2 linked regions of the Macaca mulatta genome follow. The protein of the gene in region 2 interacts with the protein of the main gene of each other region in a biochemical or structural test. Links are inferred from orthologs where the notes say so. Each region holds a gene or a part of one and is shown on either strand. Other genes may lie near its edges.

Region 1 (3,976 bases), on a different chromosome or scaffold from region 2:
TGTCCACGTCTAAGGCCCAAACAGCTGGGAAGATGTGGAATCACCTTTGTGCTGCCTGGCGGCTTAGGAAGGCCTTCATGGCCGGCCTCCTCCCACGGCCACACAGAGGAAAGGTGGATGTTAATACAGGTGACGAGACATGCAGAAAGAGGACCTGCGCCCAGCCCAAGGGCACATGTAGTTTTACATGCTGGCCAAACATTTATCAGTGCCCGCGAAGTGCTTCAGTGCGGGGGCTAGGCCTTACTGTGGCATAGAATCCAGATCAAATTCTACACTATCCCCTGGAACGCTTTGCTCCTACGGGATTCTAGGAGTAGTTCCCGCAGACCAGAGGTGGAGCAGCGCAGACCATCATGGAGGGTGCACTGTAGCCCGCACTCTTAGAAATAGAAAGTGTCATCTGGAGTGGAGAACGAGGGGCTGCTTTATTCTAACGGACTTTTTCTTTTGATTGTCTCAGTCCTCTGTTGGATTGCGTTCACCCCTGGCGCCAGGGCCCCCTGGCCCCACTCAAACGTGTGTGTGTGTGTGTGTGTGTGTGTGTGTGTGTGTGTGTGTGTCGGTGTTGGCGGGGGGGAGGGGGGGAAGTGTTGAGATTGCCTCTCCCCTCAACCTGTGGCATAGTCAGCAGACACCAACATGCCCAGCTGTCTTTTTCTTTTGACTTCAAAATAAACCTCAAGGGTGGACGGTGAAGAAGCATTAGAGCGCAGGACTAGTGCAGGTCGGGGATGGGGTCCGCTGGGGACTGCCCCCGGATAAAATGTGGAACAAATTATTCCCAACACGGCCGGGATCGCTATGACTTTGTGGTCTTGGGGCCCAAGGCCCTAAGCGTTGGAAAGGACACTCTGCTTATGCAGCAGCTTTCCTGGCAGAAAGTGAATTCAAATCGAGGATGTTTCACCACGCGGGTTTTGCCTAAGCATACATTTTTTCACACTTCTTTTAAAAAACAACCACCACAAACAAACAGAAAAAAAAAAGAAAAACCCACAACGATCCTTTGGACTTTCAGACCACCAGGATATGAGTCAAACGAAATCTCGTGTTAACACCCCGCTTCTTCCCCGCTGGAGGCCACCGGGAGTCCGGGAAGCGCTTGGCCCCCAACTAGCTTTCCGGCGGGCCGCCCGAGGGGCGGGCGCCGAGAGAAACGTCACTCTCTTCAGCGGCGACAACCCAGCGCGGGGCCACCTTCTCCAGCCATTAGGCTTAGGGAGGGACTGGCCTTTCAAAGACGTTTAATCCCCAGATAAAAATCATTCCTCAGCATCACGCCATTGAATTCTGGCTGCTATTATGCCGAGCAAAATAATCGGAGGAAACGAGGAAAACTTGGGAATTTCCCGTGCTCCTGAAATATCTGCGAGCGTGTTCTCTGAGCAGAGCAGCCAGGGGGCCGCGAGGCCTTGGAGCGAACTGCCTTGAGCACCTGGAGTCCACTTTAATGGCTCAGTTCTAGACATTTGTGAGCTTCCGACAGGATTAAAGAGGGCGCCTTCCCCTAATTGACTTGGTGCCCCGCCCCCTCCACTGGAACTTGAGTGTCCCCACCCCTGAATCATCCATCCGCCCAAAGCACCAACTATCTGCCTCAAACTCGAAGGGCATGGGGAGGTGGAATTCTGTAGAAGCTTCGGAACCTCTAGGCAAAGAGGTACTTGAAAGCGAAGAGGAGCTGGGGGACGCCAGCTCCTACTGTGAGAAAGTGAAACTCCGGGTGCAGGCAAGATCTGCGCACCACACACATTCATCCGCTGGGGTGAAGCCGATGAAACAGAGTTTGGGATCAGATGAGGGATCATGGACCCCCGGGGTCGTTTGGTGGGGGCAGGAGGACAGGGTGCCCAGACAACGGTGTCCTATCCGTTAACTCCCACCCGCGTCTCCGGGCCAAGGCGAGGAGGTCTGGAACCTTCTTCCTGGGTGGGAATGGAGGGAGGCGCAAGACCCGGCCTTGCAGCCCTCGACTCCCTAGCACTGGCTGCAGGTACGCAGGCGCCGGAGGCCAGCAGGAGCCCTCGGATCCCACACCCCGCCCGGCCCCCTCCCTCGGCGCCTGGGTTCTGGCTACTCACTGGCCGGCGGCGGGGAGAAGCGGGGGCTCTGCATCCAGGGCGTCCTCTCGGGCTTCTCGGGGCTCTCGGCTTTGACGAGCGCATCTTCTGGCAGCTTCAGGAGTCCCCCCACCGAGAAATGGCCGAGCGGCCGCGGCGAAGAGGGCGCGTCCGGGGCGCCCAGCGACCCCGGCGGGACGCCCAGTGGCTGCGCCGGGCCACCCGCCGCCTGCGCGCCCTCGGAGGGCGCCAGGGCGCTCTCCTTGGCCCCCGGCTTCCTGTGGTCGGCCATGAGAGCCTCCACGCTGAAGGGCAGGAGCGAAGGGGACACTTTGGGCTTGGCCCCCTCCTCGTCCGCGCCCATGGCGGCAGCCGTGGCCGCGGCTGCGCTGGGGGCCTGGCCTGCGCCTCCCCCCGCCGGCTTGCCGAAAGCGGAGTCCTCCACTTTGACACCGAGTGGCAAAGAAGTCATGTCAGCAGCCGGGGCCATGCAGAGCCGGGCCCCCCCTCCTGCCGCAGCACGGGCCAGCCGCCGGGCATGGGCTCGGGGCGGGCTGGGAGCGCTGCCTGCCTCTGGGAGCGCCCGGGGCTCTGGCGGGGCGGACCCTCCCGCGCGCGCCTCCCGCCCCTCCCCAGCAGGCCAGCTCCGGCGCGCTGGGCCTGGCTCCTGGTGGTCGCCGCCGCCGCCGCCGCAACACAGGCGGAGTTCCCGGGAGCACCCGCCGGTTCCTCGCCCTGCCGCGGCTCCCCAGAGAACTTGCTAATAAGGCGAGGCCAGCGCGGCGGCGGCCAATCAGCGCGCAAGGGGGCGGGCCCGGAGCGATCCATTGGGCCGCGCTCCTGGGGATTCTCCCGGAGGCGCGCTGGGCCTGGGGGCGCGCAGGGCAGGGCCCAGGCGGCGGAGGGCAGGAGAGGAGAGGGGGTGCCCGGGGAACTTTCCTCCGCGCTGAAGCCCAGGAGGCCCTCTCTGCGGGGGTCCCCCTGGGTCTCTATCTTTCTGTGTTCCCGGGGGATTTTCCCTTGTTCTTGCTCAGTCTCTTCTGTCCTCCTCTCCTCCCCTCCGCTCCTCAGCCCTCTTTTCCGCTACTCTTCCCACCTCCCCCGTCCTTGTTTCTCTCCTCTACTGCTTCTTTTACCTTTCTCTTTAGTCTGTGGCTGGGTTTCCCTGTGCCTTCTCCACTATCTGACCCCCCCCCCCTTCTTCTATTACAATAATTTGAGTTGAGGTCATTTCTTATACATTCCTTTTATATATTTTTTAAAATACGCATGGCTATTTATCCTAGGAGAAAGACATACTATTAACTTCTTTCCAAAAAACGAAACAAAATCAAACCTTCATTTTCTTCCTGTTCTGAAATCTTCTAAACTTTACCTAGAGGTAAAAGTGGGCCTTTGTCTCTAACTCAGAGCTGGAGTAAACCTTGCGGGAAGAAGCCAGCTTCCTGTGGTGCCAAGGATGTGAAAATACATAAGATTATCTAGAATCTGGAGTCGGCTTTCATACACCATGTGTATTTCTCCCCCACCCTCGCTCTGAACTTCTGTCCCGAGGGTCACAACACCTATAGGGCCCGGCCAGGGAAAGGAGCTGCCGGATTCTTTTGATATAGAAATAAAACCAACAGAAACATCAACAAAACACCGATCTGACCTTAACGTGACCTCAAACAACGCGTCCGCGGAAACAATGACATGTCCCTATCTCTGGGTCGCTGATTCTGGAGGGGAAAGTCACATTTGGGGGAGGGGGCCGGGAAAAGAGGACAGTTCCTGGCGGTGGACTCTCGTGCGGGACTTGAGAACTTTTGTTTTGCCGATTTCGGAGAAAACATGATTTAATGTTTGCTGTTAATAAAAAGAAAGTAACAGGAAAAAATGAGTTGGGGTCAGGGGAGATGCAAGATCTGTGC
Region 2 (3,500 bases):
CCTTGGCCTCCTGGGATTATAGGTGTGAGATACCATACCTGTCCATATCTAATTTTTAAGAAAATGAAATCACTGGTATCTACAATTAATAGAATCAACCATTTTAATAAGAAAGCAGTAATAACATGTTAAAGTGCTAACCTAATAACCTAAAAACTCGTTCACAACCCATAAACCAGAAGAATGAATTTCTTACGGCTACCTCTTGGCTCCTGTGCACACCATCTTCCCAGAACTGAAAATCAGTGCCGTGGTTCGTGGCTCTCTTATCCTCATGATTACTGCAGCAAACCGCTAAAATAGAGAGAATCATTAGTGAGGTCATGCCAAACTGCTCAATTTTGTTAGGAGAACTACACATTGACAAATCACAACTGGTAGGAAGGACATAGTACATCTAGTTATCAAAATATTTGTCCTGTATTTCTGCGTATCTGTAAAGGATTTGCATACACCACATGTAACAAATATTCCTTTGCATAAGGAGCAGAAAATAATCAATTGTGACAAAGTTATACCAAGATCTGTATGTTCTTTCACATGAGCATTCCACCAACAGAAATGTTTGCAAAATTTGGTCATGTTCTCAATAAATACCAGTGCTTCGGTTTCTACTTTATATTTGCTGCTTATCATGACTATAGTTTCTCTAATGATAAATTTTGTTTTATTAATATAAATTTTGAGGCAAATAAACCAATAAACGTTTTCTACCTTAATGGAATTAATAAATCAGATTACAAGCATACCAGTATGTAATGAAGTAAAATCCTGCTTCCAATTGGCCTTTAGAAACAATATTAATGTATTAAACACATATAAATGCAAATTAGGAAAGAAACACAGTTTTAACTTTTATTTTCTGCTTTTTATGCTTGAAACACGTTAATTCTTTCAGAAAATTTTCTTGCTAAGATGGTAACTCATGGGGAAAATATTTCAACTGTGGGTTGAATTAATGGCCTCAGTTATTAGGTACATGATAAAAAGCAAGTAATTACTTTGAAACAACTTAAATATTTTAATACATTATATTTAATTATACAATAAAAACCTATGTATTTCTAATTGAGATGACTCTGACAAACTAGATTGTTTTAACAATTTTATTTTTTTAATTTATTAATTTTTTTTTTTAGAGACAGAGTCTCACTTTGTTGCCCAGACTGGATTGCAGTTGCCCAGACTGGAGTGCAGACTGGAATCATGGCTCACTGCAGCCTCGAATTCCTGAGTTCAAGAGATCCTCCTGTCTTGGCCTCCCAAGTAGCTGAGATTATAGGTGTGTGCCACCAACCCCAGATAATTTTTTAAATTTTCTGATGAAACAAGGTCTTGCTATGTTGCCCAGGCTTGTCTCGAAGGCCTCAAGCGATCCTCCCACCTTGGCCTCCCAAAGTGCTGAGATTACAGGTCTGAGTCACCGTGCCTGGCTTTTAACAATTTTAGTTTAAAAACTGCTCTATGTCTTCCCTGTGTTTTTATCAACATCTAAAAAAGCTAGCAGTGTATAGTAGTTTATCTAAGTCCCAGGAAAAGCCTAGCTATTTTGCATTTCCAGAATTTCCTCTACTATTTCTATTGGTTAAGTATCACTTCACTTAAGATCATAAAGTAATAAAATTATGTATTCAACTAAATATTATAATAGATGAAAGATTAATTCTTAAAATGCTACATGTCATACAGACTCATTATGAGTGGTTAAAAGGAGATTTTTCAGACCCCTAGCTTAGCTATCTTTCAGATCTTAGGCATTATGTTTCAGGGGTTTTAAAATGCACCCTAAGTCCATTACTAACACTTCTCTCAACCCAGCTAATGTTTATCCAAATTACTTTGCCTACTATAGCTGGCAAACATCATCCCTATACATATACAAAATTCTTCACATGATCCCAATACAATATATATGTAACTTAGCTTGTTTTATAGACTGCTGTATTCCCAGGGATTCTGATATCACAGACACTCAATAAAAGATACAAAACAATGCACATTTTACTTTAGATCTTCATTTTGTTGGTGTCAAGGAATAAGCATAACACAAACTCTTTGATATACAGATTTTTTTTTTTTGAGATGGAGTCTTGCTCTGTTTCCAGGCTGGAATGCAATGGCGCGATCTCCACTCGCAACCTCTGTCTCCCAGGTTCAAGTGATTCTCCTGCCTCAACCTCCCAAGTAGTTGGGATTACAAGCACAAGCCACCACTCCCGGCAAATTTTTGTCTTTTTAGTAGAGACAGGGTTTCACTATGTTGGCCAGGATGGTCTTGAACTCCTGACCTCAGGTGATCCGCCCACCTCGGCCTCCCAAAGTGCTGGGATTACAGGTGTAAGCCACCAAGCCTGGCCGATTTTTCTTTCTTTTTCTTTTTTTTTTTTTTTAAGAGACAGGGTCTTGCCATGTTGCCTGGGCTGGTCTTGAAGTCCTAGGCTCAAGCAATTCTCCCTCCTCAGCCTCTCAAAGTGCTGGGATTACAGGCATTAGCCACTGTGCCTAGAGTGATCTACAGACATTTGTTACATAGCGTGAAATACATTAAAATATAGAGACATGACAGAGAAGACAAAAAAGAAAAAAAAAGAAACACATTAAAATAGATCTAACCTTGGGATTATATTCAGCATTTCGGGCACGAAGTGCAATGGTCTTTAGGTCAAGTTTACAACCAAGATTCACTGTGGATACAATATTTCTGTAAGAAATTTAAAAAGAAAACATGACTATTTAAATTACTTAACCTTCACTGGATGAGGTGTTAGAAATTATGCACACATTTGATTATTTCAACCAGGCTTTAATTTTTTAAAATTGCTCACATTTATTGTTTAACAAGTATCATGCACATGTTGAGCATTTTATATAGATTATTCCATTTAATACTTATAATGCACTATGGTAGAAGCTACCAGTATTCCCACATTCGGATAAATAAGCTGAGGCTTAAAGGTAGTGCAACTTCCTCAGGATGCACATGGCTCCCAAGTGGAGGTGCCAGGATCTGAGTCTGTCTCCAGAGCCATGCCCTTAGCCTTCTCACAGACAAACTCATTTCTCACCTGTGAGCTCTGAAAAGCCACCACCACCACCACCCTACTCCTAAGTCACTTTTTTTCTTTTTTTTTTTTGAGACGGAGTCTCGCTCTGTCGCCCAGGCTGGAGTGCAGTGGTGCATTCTCGGCTCACTGAAAGCTCCACCTCCTGGGTTCATGCCATTCTCCTGCCTCAGCCTCCCGAGTAGCTGGGTCTACAGGCGTGCGCCACCACGCCCGGCTAATTTTTTGTATTTTTAGTAGAGATGGGGTTTCACCATGTTAGCCAGCATGGTCTCGATCTCCTGACCTCATGATCCGCCCGCCTCGGCCTCTCAAAGTGCTGGGATTACAGGCATGAGCCACCACGCCTGGCAAACCTAAGTCACTATTTATTATGAAAATGAGTTCTCTCAAAGTACGTATCTTTTGAAAAACAACAGCTAAGTGTCTTTAGCAAAA

Evidence for each region. The genes of interacting proteins can lie anywhere in the genome.
Region 1: the proteins of TBP (region 2) and MSX1 form a complex in vitro, tested with the Homo sapiens proteins (2 studies listed by BioGRID). The link is inferred for Macaca mulatta from reciprocal best matches to the Homo sapiens genes TBP and MSX1.

The regions. Positions count from the first base shown.
Region 1 is NC_133410.1:8,115,602-8,119,577, forward strand, and holds the start of MSX1 (homeobox protein MSX-1), read right to left. Parts: upstream 2,801-3,976; 5' UTR 2,554-2,800; coding exon 2,085-2,553; intron 1-2,084. UniProt on the Homo sapiens protein: Acts as a transcriptional repressor. Capable of transcription autoinactivation.
Region 2 is NC_133409.1:1,484,013-1,487,512, forward strand, and holds part of TBP (TATA-box-binding protein), read right to left. Parts: intron 2,702-3,500; coding exon 2,614-2,701; intron 295-2,613; coding exon 203-294; intron 1-202. UniProt on the Homo sapiens protein: The TFIID basal transcription factor complex plays a major role in the initiation of RNA polymerase II (Pol II)-dependent transcription.